Linked DNA regions of Macaca mulatta. The protein of the gene in region 1 interacts with the protein of each later gene in a pairwise test. Links are inferred from orthologs where the notes say so. Each region holds a gene or a part of one and is shown on either strand. Other genes may lie near its edges.

The links.
Region 2: the proteins of STAC3 (region 1) and PPARA interact in a two-hybrid assay, tested with the Homo sapiens proteins (2 studies listed by BioGRID). The two-hybrid records come from large-scale screens. The link is inferred for Macaca mulatta from reciprocal best matches to the Homo sapiens genes STAC3 and PPARA.
Region 3: the proteins of STAC3 (region 1) and FAM133A interact in binary tests that used the Homo sapiens proteins (3 or more experiments, as listed by UniProt). The two-hybrid records come from large-scale screens. The link is inferred for Macaca mulatta from reciprocal best matches to the Homo sapiens genes STAC3 and FAM133A.

The regions. Positions count from the first base shown.
Region 1 is NC_133416.1:64,408,097-64,413,631, reverse strand, and holds the start of STAC3 (SH3 and cysteine-rich domain-containing protein 3), read left to right. Parts: upstream 1-1,843; 5' UTR 1,844-2,039; intron 2,040-3,384; exon of another isoform or gene 3,385-3,385; coding exon of another isoform or gene 3,386-3,451; intron 3,452-3,712; coding exon of another isoform or gene 3,713-3,763; coding exon 3,764-3,980; intron 3,981-4,216; coding exon 4,217-4,314; intron 4,315-4,816; coding exon 4,817-4,889; intron 4,890-5,535. UniProt on the Homo sapiens protein: Required for normal excitation-contraction coupling in skeletal muscle and for normal muscle contraction in response to membrane depolarization. Required for normal Ca(2+) release from the sarcplasmic reticulum, which ultimately leads to muscle contraction.
Region 2 is NC_133415.1:5,335,783-5,341,462, reverse strand, and holds the start of PPARA (peroxisome proliferator-activated receptor alpha), read left to right. Parts: upstream 1-2,053; 5' UTR 2,054-2,185; intron 2,186-2,209; exon of another isoform or gene 2,210-2,696; intron 2,697-3,413; exon of another isoform or gene 3,414-3,433; 5' UTR 3,434-3,515; intron 3,516-5,680. UniProt on the Homo sapiens protein: Ligand-activated transcription factor. Key regulator of lipid metabolism. Activated by the endogenous ligand 1-palmitoyl-2-oleoyl-sn-glycerol-3-phosphocholine (16:0/18:1-GPC). Activated by oleylethanolamide, a naturally occurring lipid that regulates satiety.
Region 3 is NC_133426.1:99,943,800-99,949,382, forward strand, and holds the start of FAM133A (protein FAM133A), read left to right. Parts: upstream 1-1,990; 5' UTR 1,991-2,094; intron 2,095-2,501; 5' UTR 2,502-2,574; intron 2,575-5,583. Other genes in the region: NAP1L3 (nucleosome assembly protein 1-like 3), read right to left, coding at 1-1,127.

The DNA.
Region 1 (5,535 bases):
CCTGTCGCCCACGCTGGAGTGCAGTGGCATGATCTCGGCTCACTGCAACCTTCACCTCCCAGGTTCAAGCAATTCTTCTGCCTCAGCCTCCCAAGTAACTGGGACTACAGGCATGTACCACTGTGCCCAGCTAATTTTTGCATATTTAGTTGAGACAGGGTTTCACCATGTTGGCCAGGCTGGTCTCAAACTCCTGACCTTGTGATCCACCCACCTCGGCCTCTCAAAGTACTGGGATTACAGGCGTGAGCCACTGCGCCTGGCCGCCTTTCTTTAATCCTAAAGCTGGAGGATTGGGTTTTACCTGTCAGGGACAGAAGCAGATGTTTATTACAATAAAAGCTACAGCAACTGAATTCACAGTGCCAAGATGCTATATTATCCAAACATGCTCAGCAGTCCCTGTCCTATGTGGCTGAAAAAAGGGGAAGAGCAGAAGTCATCTTGCCTGCAAGGTGCAGCTTTTCCTTTAGAGCATCTCAAAGCAAGCCCTGTTGTTCTGCAGTCTGTCAGAGCAGGGCCATTAAAGAACCTGCAGAGTCAGAACCATCCTGCACCACCTTTTCAAACTTCACCCTTAAATAGAAAAAAAAAAAAAAGTAGTGGGTGAGAATGACAAAGCATGTTGCCCTGGAAATCTCTTGGGTCCAAGTAGCTGTATCCCTAACCATGGTCCTACAGGAGCTTGCCTGACTCAGTCTCCAACACAGTCCTTTATTTCTTACAGATACAAGGAATAAAGCAGCACTGCATTGCCACCTCTAAATTGCTCTCCCCTGAGATGGGAGTATCTCCTCTTTCATCTATGTCACAGCCCAAAGAGTAGGAGAAGGGTAAACCCCTGTGAGATCAGAATGGCATCTGTCTCTTTGATCCATCAGTTACATACTGAGGCATCAAAGGTGGGAGATGGAATCAGGGAATCAAAAGGGTTTAGGAAGTGTGAGGTTGGCCATCCTACCTTTAAGAGTTTGCAGTTCTCATGAGGAAGGGGACATTACTTAGAAATTATTAAAAAGATTCCTTATGTGGCAGCTATATCCTTCTGTCTAGTGTTAACTGGCCCTTTTTAATAGCCCTGGTAATTCCATTCACCCTGAGGACAAAATTTTGCAAGAAGGAGGGTGGGGAGATGTCTCTGGGAGCTGATGGAGGGAATGAAGCAATACTACATATTCTTCACTTTCTTACAGGATAGCAAAGTACTTCTCCAACCACCCACAGATAAAAAGCAATCTAACCATGCACGGTGACCCACGCCTGTAATCCTAGCACTTTGGAAGGCCGAGGCAGGCAGATCACCTGAGGTCAGGGGTTTGAGACCAACCTGGCCAACATGGTGAAACCCCGTCTCTACTAAAAATACAAACATTACCTGGGCATGGTGGTGGGCGCCTGTAATCCCAGCTGCTTAGGAGGCTGAGGCAGGAGAATCGCTTGAACCTGGGAGGTTGCAGTGAGTCCGGATCACTTCATTGCACTCCAGCCTGGGTGACAAGAGCAAGACTCTGTCTCAAAAAAAAAAAAAAAAAAGAAAGCCATCTAGTATGGCTGATAGGAGAGCTCTATGCGTTCGAATTAGTCTTTTTTTTTTTTTTTTACCCTGTCTCAAAAAATAAATGAAAAATAAAAATAAACTCCCTTTAAATGTTATATGAGCATGAACAGAAACTGTCCCTTGCTGAATTTGGCCATTATTCACCTGTTCACCTTAGATGAAGAATCAAGGAACAGCAGCTCTGGAGGGATGGGAGGAGTTAGGGTCCAGCCCTGCCCCAGACCTCTCAGTGTCCAATTTCTCTGTGTCAGCTGTGTTTCTCAGCTGTTCACTTTCCTCCAGCCCTGTCATTTCAGCCCTGACACCAAGGCAGGAGGTTAGGAGGTCTACAAATAGCGACTGGGTAGCTGGTGTGAACACAGGGTACTGGGGGGGCTTAGCCCCCAAGGAAGAGGACCAGTTTTTCCCCAGCACCACCATCAAGGCCTCGGGGCTCCCAGCTCCCTCTACAGACTGTGGACTGATTTAGGGAATCCCAAACGTAAGTTACCTCTTCATCCTCTCGATTTCCACGACTGCTCACGCCAGCTGCCCTGATCTATAATCTATTCAGCTTCTTCATTTCTTTCCTTGTCTGTGAGTCGTTTGGGTTTTAGGAGTAAAATTATTATTCTACTCTAGGATGAGTTAGGATTGGAGGGGGGGTGGGGGTGGGGTAAAGGGAATGAAGTAGTAAGGGAAGGAAAGGCTCATATTACCCTGAAAACTTAAAATAGCTGAGCCCTGAGGCAGGCTGGGACAGAACTAGGCACAGGGCCCCCAGGGCTCAAGAAAGAAGTAGGGGAGGACAAATGTCTGCAGTCCATCCTTCCTTGTGCGCACACGAGGACACACATTAAACCTCTTGAAGAGAGGAGATCTGGGAAGGTATGCATCACATCTCTGTTGCCCACAGATTCCCAAGAGAAACAAAGTACCTATAGGAAAATAACATAAACCATGCAGCCTTGAACACTGTAAGGGCTGTAAACTATGGGGTCTCCCCTCAGGATGGAAGGATGAGTATCAGTTTGAGGAACTAATTGGGGAGCTCTTTAGTCTGTTGGGATTTATTTATTTATTTATTATTTTTTATTTTTTTTGAGATGGAGTCTTGCTCTGTCACCCAGGCTGGAGGGCAGTGGCACAATTCTGGCTCACTGCAACCTCCTGGGTTCAAGCGATTCTCCTTCCTTAGCTTCCTGAGTAGATGGAATTACTGGTGTCCACCATCACGCCCGGCTAATTTTTGTATATTTAGTAGAGATGGGGTTTCACCATGTTGGCCAGGCTAGTCTTGAACTCCTGATCTCTAGTGATCTGCCCGCCTCAGCCTCCCAAAGTGCTGGGATTACAGGCATGCACCACCGCGCCTGGTCATGTTGGGCTTTTTCCTAGACTTCCATGAAATCTGTTAATAAAACCTGCCAAATGATCTGTATTTGGCCCAGTGCAGTGGCTCACGCCTGGAATCTCAACACTTTGGGGGTTGAAACGGGAGGATTGCTTGAGCTAGTTCGGGTAAGCCTAGGCAACAAAGCAAGACCATGTCTCTACAAAAAATAAAAAGGTAGCCAGGTAGTGTGCACCTTGTGTTCCAGCTACTCAGGAAGCTGAGGTAGGGGGATTGCTTCAGGCTGGGAGGTCAAGGCTGCAGTGAGCCATGATCATGCCACTGCACTCCAACCTGGGTGACAGAGTGAAACCCCATCTCAACAACAACAAAATCTCTAATCACGTTTCTCCAAAAACCTTCCCTTTGAGTACCGCCCTACTGCAAGGGACAGAAATAAGGGGGAGAAGAGTGAAAGGGATTAGATTTCATAGTGGGGTCCAACCTCTTGCAGGATGACAGAAAAGGAGGTGCTGGAGTCCCCTAAGCCCTCTTTCCCAGCAGAGACTCGGCAAAGCGGGGTGAGTCTGGGCCTGTGACCACTGGGTGTGGGGGGCCAGGAAACCTTTACAGCTGAAGAAGAGTGCTTAAATTGATCTCATTTGTGTGTGACTCATGTTTTGCTGGCCAGCACCTGCAGTCCCCAATACCAATACCTGCCTAATCCTGGGGTACATTCCTTGCCCAAAACTAGAAAACTGTCTGTTTGCTCTAACACCCCCCTACTCTAGAGAGGGTGACAAGTCCTTTTAACGTTGGGTTTTCTTCACTCCCTCCCTCAGCTACAGCGGCTGAAGCAGTTACTCAGGAAGGGTTCTACAGGGACAAAGGAAATGGAACTTCCCCCAGAGCCCCAGGCCAATGGGGAGGCAGTGGGAGCTGGGGGTGGGCCCATCTACTACATTTATGAGGAAGAGGAAGAAGAAGAAGAGGAGGAGGAGGAGCCACTCCCAGAACCTCCTAAGCTGGTCAACGATAAGCCCCACAAATTCAAAGATCATTTCTTCAAGAAGCCAAAGTTCTGTGATGTCTGTGCCCGGATGATTGTTCGTGAGTCATAAAGGGGAGTGAAGAGAGTATGATGTTGAAGGCAGAGGTTGGGGAGAGGGCATACAAGAGGAGTATTTGTAGCAGATGGGCTGTGGCTAGAGTTGGTGTAAGGCAATGCTGTTAGAGATTGAGCAAGTAAGGTCCCAGACAGAAAAGGGAACCTAAGAGTAGCAGCAGTGGTACAAAGGGAAAGGGCAATCTGGAATCTTATCTGAATTTTCTCCCCCTCTCCCAAGTCAACAACAAGTTTGGGCTTCGCTGTAAGAACTGCAAAACCAACATCCATGAACACTGTCAGTCCTATGTGGAAATGCAGAGATGCTTCGGCAAGATCGTGAGTAGGCTCTGGGGAACAAGGTGTAGAAAAGAGGTGACATGGACGGGCACAGTGGCTCACACCTGTAATCCCAGCACTTTGGGAGGCCGAGGCAGGCGGATCACGAGGTCAGGAGATGGAGACCATCCTGGTTAACACAGTGAAACCCTGTCTCTACTAAAAAATACAAAAAATTAGCCGGACGTGGTGGCGGGCACCTGTAGTCCCAGCTACTCGGGAGGCTGAGGCAGGAGAATGGCGTGAACCCGGGAGGCGGAGCTTGCAGTGAGCTGAGATTGCACCACTGCACTCCAGCCTGGGTGACAGAGCGAAAAAAAAAGAAAGGAGGAGACATGTCACCAGCTACCCCTTGCTGGTCCCTCCTCCATCCCATTCATTTCTCTGCTTTTTCTTTCTCAGCCCATCTCTTTTTCTGAGAAAGGGTGAGCACTCATGGGAGAGATGGGCTTCTGGACCTTACTTTGCTACCTCTAATGCTTCCTCCCATCCCATCCTACAGCCGCCTGGTTTCCGTCGGGCCTATAGTTCCCCACTCTACAGCAACCAGCAGTACGCTTGTATCAAAGATCTCTGTAAGTGCCCTTTATGGAACATGAGGGAATGGGCAAGCCTAGAGATGGTTTCATGCCATCTCTAGCTTTGGAAGCCAAATTCTGAAACAGAAACTTTCTATTTCCCATAATTCTCCCTCAACCTAACATTTTTATATCCATTTGGATGCAGAGGCAATATCCCCATTTTACAGCAGAGGGAGATAAGATTTAGTTGCAACTACATACGGTTAGCAAGAGGTAGCGCCAAGACTGGAATCTTCAGTTGCTAGCTTCAGAATCTGTGCTCTTCATGTGCAAAATCATTTCTAAGCAAGAACAAGGATTCTAGATTGTCCTCATCCTTACTACAGAGTCATACCAGACTTGGGGCAAGACCTAAAGGCTGCAGGCACCCTGGGCATGTTCATAATTTGGCAACCCTTAAAAGTATATTCATTGACAAATTTGCTCAACATTTATTTGGAGCAGAGGCTGAACTCTGTGAAGAGCATGGGTGAAAAAGAAGAACCTATTGGTGGCAGCACCTCAGCTTACACATGCCATTCAGCAGAACAAAAACCAGAAGTTAAGGGCCCATTCTCCTTAGAAGGAGAATAGTGATTCTGAGCATGTCTCAACTCCCAAGCAACCAAAGTTGTCTTTCAAACGTCATATAATGCTCTGC
Region 2 (5,680 bases), on another chromosome or scaffold:
CTGTTCCTCATTTCATCAGCACTGAAGAAGGTAAAGAGAGACTTTCTGGAGCTGGGAGTGGGGGTGGCGGTGTGCCCTTTGTGACAGTTGCTCCCATGCTGGGTGTGTGACAAGGTCTTCGAGGCCAACAGAAAATTGCTTCATCTCTCTCATCTGAGCGTGGTTTCCCAAAAGAAACCTACCACCCCTGGGAGGCAGTGGATGCGGGGCTGTTTCTGGCCCAAGAGAAGAGTCCTGAACTTGCTTCTACCCTCGGGACGCCTGCGGGAGACTGGCTGACAGCATTTGATTGAAAATGCTTATTTCTGGGACACATGGATGAAAAACAAGTTTTCTCTCCCTAAAACCTTGGGAGCCCCAAAAACCCAAGAATATCAGTTTTCTGTGTCTGCTGAGTGTAAATGACCACTCTACAGACCCCCACACAGCCTTTGTCCTTGTTCATGAGAAGGTTCACCAGGTCTTTCAACACCTGGTTGACCTGGGTGGTGCATCTGGGAAAAGAAGCCAACACACCTGTGTGGACCCTGGTCCTTGAGAGCCTGGGATATGGGGACACCAGGTAATATCTTTGAGCCCAGAGGTCCTCATGAGGATATAGCCCCTGAGCTCTGCGTGGGCTGCGGAGTGTCAGCTTCCCTCACCAAACACAGCAGGATGACAAGCGTGGATGTGGCTGCCTGCACCCCCCGCGAGATATCCAGGATATTACGTGTGCGGATCACCCTGTAAACTCTGAAACATAACATAGATCTTAGCTATTGCTGGCTAGCATGTGCAAGAGAAGGTGAGGCTGCGGTGTGCCAGTGGGAAGGATATATGGGTGTCTGGAGGGTGGGACAAAGTTCACCACAGGTGCCTGGCTAATCAACTAGGGTGAGTTTAAGAGAAGTTTGTGAAAGGGCCAGTTCCCACCTGGTCTCCAGTTCCCCTGCCTAATGAGATTTGTGTTTCCTTTCCGGAGTGGGTCCTCCTGGGCGCCGGCTGCCACAAATAGCACAGTGGCAGGCGCAGCTGGCAGTGGAGGGCAGGCAGTGGGGCGGGCATAGCACACATTGCGTTCCCAAGGATGGGCGCCCTGATGTGCCGGCACCAAGGGGGTTTGTGCATTCCGCGCGGGGAGCTCGGGCGTCACGGCGCGAACAAAGCGGCTTTGCAGGGCGCTCTCCTACTCCTCGCCATTGGCCGCCAGGCCGCGACCTCCCCCTGCGCTGGCAGAGTCCCAGTGCCTTACGTGGGCACAAAGTCAGTCCCTCACCCCCCAGCGCATGGAGTAGGGGGCGGGCATGGGTCTCGGGTTGCTGGAGAGGGGTGGGGTTGTGGGGTCGGAGTTGGCGGCGCCTCCCCGAGCCCGTCCGCGTTGCCCTTCACCCTCCTCGTTCCCCCGCCCGCCACACCGCCCTGGCACCTCTCGCCACCTGTTTCCTTGTCCTCCCAGCTCGCCTTCCCCTTCTCCTTATTTTGCATCCTGGGGTTCCAGGGACAAGGTCCTTCCCGGGCCGCCTCCCACCCCACGCACTTCTGAGACTCAAGAGCACCCGGTCCCGGGTCCCGGGTCTAGACCGGCTTATCGCACAGAGCGGCACAGCCGGGCTCATCGAGAAGGCAGGAGGGGCTCGCCAGCGTGGCACTGGCGACCGGCGAGAACCTCCACCCGCCCCGCGGCGTGTCCACGCCTAGAATTCAGCCCCACCCTGGTGCCTCGGGCTGGAGGGGCGCCGACGCTCAGCGGTGTCCCGTCGGTCACCTTGGACAGCCCCTCCACCTCTCCGGCCTCAGTTTCCCTTGGCTGCAGCGACCGCGAGGCGCTAGGTGGGAGCCGCTGAGCGCTCCCGGGGCCCCGCCCACCTCGATCAGCCAATCGGGCGCCGCCGTCCGGGGGGTGTGTCCCGGGGCCGCGGCCTGGGGCCCGGAGGGCGCGCTGGGCGGGCGGGGCTTCCGGGTCGGGCCTCGGGACACTCGCCCGAGCGGACCGGGGCGGGGGGCGGGCCAAGGGGCGGTGCGTGTCGCGGGGGCGCGGCTGGCACGGACGCGCGGAGGCGGCGCCGAGCATGGGCCGTGGACGCGGCGGCCCCGCGGCGGGGGCAGCGGGCGGCGGGGGCGGAGGCGGCCGCTAGCGCCCTGCCCGGCGCCGCCTCCTTGGGCGTTCGCCCCACGGACCGGCAGGCGGCGGACCGCGGCCCAGGTGCCCGGGGGCGGGCGGGCGGGCACGCGCGCAGGGGTCCGCGGGCCGTGCGTTCCCGGTCCCGGGACCCGGAGGGCGGCGGACGGGGGAAGGGCAGAGGGTGGGCGGCGCATGCGCGGGGCCAGGGGTCTCGGGGTCCCGGGGACCTGAGGGCCCGGGGTGCGCGGCTGGAGACCTGAGGGCTAGGAGCGAGGACACACACCGAGGACTCGTGCAAGGGATCCCGGGGCCCAGCTCGGCCTCCCTCCTAGCGCTGGGGGCCTGCCCGGAACCCCAGAGTCCGCGGCTGTCCCTGGGGCTTGGCGCTGCGCGGAGGTCGGGTCTGGGGACCGCAGCGACTCTGGGTCTTCGGGTTGTCCCCTGGGAGGGAGGGCCCACGGGCAGGGACATCGGGGCTTGCCCTTCCCTCGGCGCGGTGGAGCTGGGGCGTCCCCGACTCAGAGGGTGCTTTCCGAGACCTCCAGGGATCCCCGAGGCGAGGAAACCCGGGCCCCGGACAGACCGACCCTGGGTGGGTGCGCCCGGCTGCTGCCGTCGGACGGAGACGCGCGTGTTTGTTCTTCCAGCTGCGGCCACCTTTGAGGAACGGTTCCCACTTTGTGCCCCAACGCGGCGGGGCGACCCCAGACAGGCTGTGCTGGGCCGGGTGGCTTCTCTGCGGAAGCCGCGCCACGTCGCTGCCGGTCGGGGCCGCTGCGGGTCGGGCTGCGGGTCGGGCGCCCAGGTCTTTCCGGAGTCCCGCGCTGCGCGGCCCGCGTGGTGCGGGTGAAGCCGGAGGGGCGCGGGGTGGTGCTAGTGGAAGTCCGGAGGGTCGGCTCTGTCCCCTCACTCACCCCAACTAACAGGGCACAACTGCACGCCTGTGCTTTTCTGAAGCCTTTCTTAAAAGTTAAAAGAGAGGAAGTGTGCTCCAAGTGTCAGGATTCCTTCCAAGAAAAACCCACAGTTGTCCAACGCCCTGGGCTTCGTGGGACCTCCGGGGCTGCACGACCACGTCAGCCCCCGCCGCCCCCGCCGACCCCTGCCAGGAAACCAGGGAGGCCCCTCCTCTCCCAGCCTCCTTGGGATAAGGGTGGCTTGAGGAACTGGGTCAGGGCAAGGACACGGGGTTTTACTGAGAAGGACCCTGTGACACCCCCTGTCGTTGCTGGGCAGGGTCGGGATGACTTTCCTCTTCCAAGGTGAAGAGTTGGGGGGCATTCAGAGAACATAGCGTAATCACTTCCTCCTTCACCTTCTTACTGCCAGGCTGAAGCTCAGGGCCCCGTCTGCTCTGTGGACTCACAGTTTGTGGCAAGACAAGCTCAGAACTGAGAAGCTGTCACCACAGGTAAGTAGAAGGTTTAATTTACTGTTTCCAGATGGAAATATTTAAGTGTTTTCAGTGTTTACTGTTGTTGTACTACAGACCAGCAATCTGGGGGTTATTACTTTGTGATGCAAGGTTAGATACATTTTCAGACTGAAAGTAAGATACATGTGCATGGGTTCACTTTTTTTTTTTTTTTTTTTTTTTTTTTTGAGATGGAGTCTCCCTCTGTCGCTCAGGCTGGAGTGCAGTTGCCTGATCTCAGCTCACAGCAACCTCTGCTGCTGGGGTTCAAGCGATTCTCCTGCCTCAGCCTCCAGAGTAGCTGGGATTACAGGAGCCTGCCACCACTCCCAGCTAATTTTTGCAGTTTTAGTAGAGATGGGGGTTTCACCATCTTGGCCAGGCTGGTCTTGAACTCCTGACCTCACGATCCACCTGCCTCAGCCTCCCAAAGTGCTGGGATTACAGGCGTGAGTCACCGTGCCCGGCCTAGGATTCACTTTTAAGTTCTGAGTTATTGTGTGAGTTTTGCTGGGAACTTCATTGCTTCATGGCAGGCATGTTTTGTATAATTTAAAACTTGGTAACATTAACTTTGAGAAATGTGGGTGCTTAGCAGACCCTTGGGATGTCCACACTGACTGGTACCGAGCAGTATACCGTCTCTGAGCTGTTTTCATTTTGATTTGAATATTAAGTAGATGGCTTGTTGAGATAGGCCAATGCCAGAACATGCCAAGGATAGGCTGAAGAAACGGCCAGATGATATGAATTTGTGTGGTCACCATTCATGAGAGACCAGGGACACTGGGGCTGATGATGACCTGTGTAACTCCGAAGCAAAAGTAAATTAATTGGCAAGCTGGGTGCGGTGGCTCACTCCTGTAATCCCAGCACTTTGGAAACCGGAGTGGGCAGATCACTTGAGGCCAGGAGTTTGAGACCAGCCTGGCCAACATGGTGAAACCCCATCTCTACAAAAAAAAATAGAAAAATTAGCTGGGCGTGGTGGCGGACACCTGTAATCCCAGCTACTCAAGAAGCTGAGGCAGGAGAATTGCTTGAGCCTGGGAAGTGAAGGTTTTAGTGAACTGAGATTGTGCCACTACACTCCAGGATGGGTGACAGGGCAAGACTCCATCTCAAAAACAAATGAATAAAATAAAATTAATTAACCGACAGTAGGAAAAAATGTTTTTTCTTTCTTTTCCCACATCTGTTTTGTTTTGTTTGTTTTCTGAGATGGAGTTTTGCTCTTGTCACCCAGGCTGGAGTGCAGTGGCACGATCTTGGCTCACTGCAACCTCTGCCTCACGGATTCAAGTGATACTCCTGCCTCAGCCTCTCGAATAGCTGGGATTACAGGTACTCACCACCACACCCAGCTAATTTTTGTAGTTTTAGTAGAGACAGGGTTTTGCCATGTTGGCCAGGCTGTTCTCAAACTCCTGACCTCAGGTGAACCTCCCGCCTCGGCCTCCCAAAGTGCTGGGATTACAGGCGTGAGCCACCGTGCCGGGCCCTTTTCCGACGTCTTAAACACAAAGTAAGAGACATGCCATAATCATCAAATACTGCAGTGGTTTTCACCAGCTCCTGTTTATCAAACTTATGAACAGAGTTTTAAAAATAGTGTATCAGCCAGGCGCGGTGGCTCATAACTGTAATCCCAACACTTTGGGAGGCTGAGGTGGGCAGATGACAAGATCAGGAGTTTGAGACCGGCCTGGCCAATATGGTGAAACCCTGTCTCTACAAAAAAAATATGAAAATTAAGCTGGACGTGGTAGCAGGCGCCTGTAGTCCCAGCTACTCAGGAGACTGAGGCAGGAGAATTGCTTGAACCCGGGAGGGAGGTTGCAGTGAGCTGAGATGGTACCACAGCACTCTGGCCTGGGTGACAGAGTGAGACTCCGTCTCCAGAAAAAAAAAAAAAAAATTGTATGTGAGAGAGAGAGAACTAGAGAGAAGAAAGAGAAAACCTGTCTTCTTTATAAACTATTTTATAACTTTTTATTGACTAGGTTATGAAAAATCTTTCTATGTGGAAAACATTTCTGCATCATTTGAAATGTATATATAATATCCTATTGTGTTTAGATACAATAATATTTAACCAATCTCTTTATATATGTGTATGTATTTAATGCAGTCATTCTATAAATATTTACTGAGTAGCTGCT
Region 3 (5,583 bases), on another chromosome or scaffold:
AGCACCTCATTTCTGAAGTATGGATTGGGTAGAAAATGAAATTCAAAGGTGTAACTTACAGGCTGGCCAGGTTTTGAGAACTTCAGGCTAACATCCGACAAGAACTTCAGAATGGGCTCATCATACTTCTGAATCATAGGCCCGAGCTTGTCAACATTCTTTAAAACAATCAGCCAATAGTCAGGAATGCCTTTAGGGTCTTCTCTTTTAGGCTTTCCCCTCCTAGCTCTTTTAAGATCTACACTGTCCTGAAGCCTTTCCTCAGGAACTCTTTTATGAGCCTCTCTTACTGCAGGCCTTGCCTTAGCCTCTGTTGCTTTAGGCTGTTCTTTATCATCTGCCTTTACCTGGGGGGCTTCTTTAGGATCTTCTTTTACTTCAGGGGTTGCCTCCATACAGTCTGCTTTAGAATCTGCTTTTTCTTCAGCCTTTATCTCAGGGATTTCTTTAGGAACTTCCTTTTCTTCATCTTTTACCTCAGGAATTTCTTTAGGAACTTCCTTCTCTTCAGCTTTCACCTCTGGGTTTTCTTTAGGGGTTTCTTCTTCCTCACCCTCTAAGGGAGGCATTTCACTAGGGGTGTTATCCTGCACCTCCTCATCACTGCTGAACTCCTCATCCTCTGAATTCCATTCACATTCTTCTTCTGTAGGCTCGTATTCTGCATTGATGATTTGAAACCGCCTATCATATAGAGGCTTGTTGAGTTCAGCATATTTTCTTTCAAGATCATGAATTGCTTTTAAGAACAGGGTGTCTACCTTGTCACATTCTTCTTGAATGTTTCTAAGCGCTTGCACACGATTTCTAACTGCCTGAGGCAGCCTATCCACGAAATTTGTTCCCAAGGGGGCCCGCCGCGCCCTGCTGGAAGGCTCAGGTACCCTCTTCTTTCTATATAAGCGGCTGCGGCTGCTAGTGCTGCCGCTGCTGCTGCTGCTGCCGCTGCCGCTGCTGCTGCTGCTGCTGCCACTACTGCTGCTGCCGCTGCTGCTGCCACTAGTGCTGCTGCTAGAGCTACTGCTGTCAGATTCTTCCCCAGAATCACTAGTCGAGCTAGCCATCTCCTCTTCGGCAACCCCATGGGCGACGGGTTCCGAGACCATTTTAAAATCTGCTTCTGCCATCTTGCAAGCCTGAAAAACTCTACCGCGGAGACCGCGCGACCAGAGATGGGCAGAAAATGACTCACGGATGCTTGAGTGGCGGCGGCGGAGGCCCGGGCTGCGGAGGTGGCAGCGGCGATGGCAGCAGCGGCGCAGAGCGGAGCTGGAGCTGGGGATGCAGAGGCCGGCGCTGAGGTGGCAGCGGCAGTGGAGGCCTGGGCGACAGCGGTGGCGGCAAGGCCTCTCCCGGCTGCAGCTACACAGTGCCGAGATGTACCGCAGCCGAATGGCGCAGTATGAGACCCCGAGATCTCTTCTCGTTTTAGATCGCGAGCCCCCTCCCCTCGCAGTCAGACCTCCCGTTAATTTCGTTCCCAGTGTGCCTTTAGTTCGCTCCTCATTTGCTGGTCCACCTTAATTGACAAACCGTACGCCCAACGAACGGCCAAACGCCACTACTCCTGGCTCCGCCCACCTTCCCAGACGCTGCTCGCCGGCTGAGGTGCGACCCCCTGGAAGGTGTCCCCGAGCCCCCCAAAAAGTCTATATTTATAGTTTTATAATTAAAAGAGGAAAAAAAAGCGTAGACATGAGGTAAAAATACCAGCCATAGTTCCTAACAAGGGCAGAAGAGGCGTGTCTTCCTTCTCCCATCCGCCCATCCTGAATTCCCGTTTAGTTTGTCACGGGTCTCTTGACAAAAATCTGTAAAAGAAAAAAAAAAAAAAAATTGAATGAAAATGGTCCAAATGGCGTCATTGGGTAGTGTGACTGTGGACGATTTAAAAACAAAACGATTTTCTCTAAATATTCTATGAGCAGTATTTTTACACTGGATAAAAAAGGGGAGAGTCGGTTATTGGCAGAGGGGGGAGGGACTAGACAGCAGGCGTATTGCATTCCACGAAGCTGATTTAATAAGTGCTGTCTGTGATGTTTGGCAAGCCTGGTTTATATCCATCTACAAGGTTTGCGAACCCATGTTGCCGTGAGTCAGTTACACCATTTTTATTATATTTCTCTTTTTAGGCTGGCATATTATATACCCCAACCTTGCTGCTAACTTGCCACGTAGCCCTTCTCAATGCTTGCAACAACCTTGTAGATAAAACAATGAGTGTATTAAATGTTAGGTAGTATTGTTAAAAAGCAAATGATTTGCGTTATACTTTTGTGCAGCAGGTTTCAATTCCAAGAACAGTGGGATGGGAGGGGGAATTTGTGCTAATGAATGTGCATCTTCTGTCAGTGTATGCGATGTCATCTGCCACCAATTTCCTTCTAATGTTGTAAAATTCTAGCCATACTATAGTATGATTTACAAGTCCAGTAATATGTGAATAAACTTTTGCAAAATGAAGTTTAAAAACGGGTATTTGTTATTTTTATTTACAGGATTTTTTTTTTCTGCTACAGAACAACTACCTTGGTACAATAAAAAAGACGAGTATTTACTTTTCATTGAAAGGTAAGGATCATATTTAGCACATTTTAAAGAATGACAAAAATTACTCATCTCCATCTGAATAAAAGTTTACAGGATGCAGTCATTTAGAGATTTATTTTAGATAATAATCTTGATAATTCTATGGAAACAGGAAAATCCACAGAGGTAATTTGGCATACTAATGTAGACAATAGCCTACTTAACCACATTAACTATCTTAACCTGGTCATAGAATACAAGTTGTAAATTAAAATATGAAATATGATAAATTATTCATTTCAAATGAGGAACTGTATTAAAGTTAGATTAATCTTTATAGAATTTGTGCTTTGTCATGTAGTCACGTTTTTAAAAGTTATGAAATGCTTTTCTGTCTCATAAATGCATTTACTTTTATTGTATATCTCTAATTGTCAAAGTCTGTGAACATTGCAAAGATAAAACCTCAATACAGAAAATTCCAACAGTAGTAAAAACACACAATCTTAACCACCAAATGATAAGAATTACTAGCATTTTGATGCACTTCCTTCTAGAAATTTCCTTGTGCATATACATACCTGCCTATTTATGTATACTGCTTTATCTATGTGATACCATATTATGTTTTGTAGTCTTTTCATTTAATTTATCAGTTACTAATGGCTATATTTTCATGGCAAATGATCAACATCTTATTTTTAAATAAGTGCATATTCCATGGAAATAATTGCCTTAATTTATTTGAACAGATTCCTCTTATAGGGTGGCTATTTCTATACCATCTCTCCCCTTATATACATATTATTTTCCTGCTATAATAAAAGTGTCCCTGGATACCTAAAGCATATATTTCTATGCACTTCTGAAAATTGGTCATAAGATAAATTCCTAGAAATGAATGGCCTGGGAATGATCATTTCATATTATGGAATTATTATTGTATACATATTGCCAAACTCTCTGCAGAATGATTATCACAATTTACAGTTCCAACAGTGCATAAAGGTTCATTTTTTTTGTCATTCAGCTAATATATTTTTGTGCCTGTCGTATGCTGGGCAAATGTGGTAGAGAATTGTAGTATAATGGTGAATGAAACTTACTAAGTGCATATCCTTTCGCTGAATAATTTTAATCAAAGCATATGTTATAGAAACAATGATTTACATCAATGGTGTTATACCATAAATATTGTTCTGAGACTCACTATTTCTTTTTAAATTATGGAGATTTTACAAAAAGTATGCTCTTATGTTTTAAACTTTGTAGCATCAGGAATTAGTATTTTAGAGTGAGTCATGAGGTAGGGATCCAGATTTTTAAAATACTTATTTTTATTAGCTAGCTAATTCTTCTAGTACCATTTATTTGGTAATCTTTCTATCTCCTGCTTACTTGAAATGCTACTTTGATCACATTAAATAAATTGCTTGGGTCTGTTTCTAAATTCTTTTCTGATCCATTAGTTGCAAACAACTAATGAGTCGGTGTTAAGATAACTTTACATTTTGTGAAAATGATATGTGTTCATTGATAAAGTCAGACAATACATTGAAATACAAAGAAGAAATTAAAAGTAACTCAAAATAAAACTGAGAAGTAATCACTACTTACATTTACATTTGTAATCAACATCTCCAAATTAATTTATCAATATTAGTATTTGTATTTCTTAGATTAGTGGTAAGATTGTGTTTTCATATGTTTATGTTTATTTGAGAACTGTCTATTCATATTTTTTGTTTTCTACTGAATTAAGCAAGAAGTTAATCAATGGTGAAATCCTAAAGGTAAAATGATTTTGGCCTTGACTTACTTAAGACAACTATGATTTCTTCAGGAAATAATGCATGATATTGGGCAAATGTGACTAAATTTCATATTAAAATTGGTTGGGTTTTTTTTTTGGGGGGATGCTTGGGGGTTTTTTTGGATGCTTTTCAAGGATTACGGATAACTACTTAACCACTCACACTGATCCTGGAAAAGTTTGGAATGGAACATGGAGATGAAAAATAGAAAAAAGCTTACAAAAGCATCATATAAAAATAATGTATTAATCAACAATTGTGATTTTCAATTTGGAATTATTTTTTCCTAGATATAGGCAATGAAAATGTTGAAAGTAGATGATTTTTTCTAATCACAATTCTCTACTTTAATTGTGTATCCATAAGTATCTTGTAACACACTTTTATTTTTGTAGCTTTTTTTTGGTTGATTAGTTTATTTAATTTTATGTAGTAGGTATCTAAAATAAAATAAGCTTTTTCTTCATAATCAATTTAATTGCTGCATTATATCCTATTTGTTCTACTGTGAAATGTACATATTAGTTTTATCATATCATATGCTTATTTTTCTTAATAAGGTTATATATAAATTATTTGCATAGTGATATGTTCTTTGTTCAATTACTAGATGATTTTTTTGTGGGACGGCGGCTAAATGTTAATGCTTCTACATGAGATGATACATAACACAGAATCTGATAGTATACTCAGACTGAACATAGTACATTAACATCTGTTGATACCTCCCTTAATATGAATATACACACAATCCCTTCCACCACCCACTCCTGCCACACAAACACACAAAGTGTATAATGACACGTGTAGCAGCATTATCTTTTTTTGTAGGTATCTAAGAAGCGAAGCATTGCAAGTTCATTTATTTTTGAATGACTCTTCCTCCTGTTCTTCTTGGACAAGTTTTATCTGAATATACAAGTTAATTCTTTTTTAAAAACCATTTTATTGATGTATAATAGGCACACAACAAATGTGTCTATCTGTGAAAGTATCACCACAGACAAAATAATGAAAATTGTATCATCCCTGAAAGTTTCCTCATATGCCTTTGAATCCCTCCTCTTGTCCCTAGACAATAGCTTATCTGTTTTCTGTTCCTATAGATGAATTTGCATTTTCTAAAATTTTATATAAGTGGAATAATGTAGTATGTTCCTCTTTTTGCCTGTCTTTGCAGAATTATTTTGAAATTTACCCATGTGGTTGTGTGTATCAGGAGTTTACTTTTCCTGTT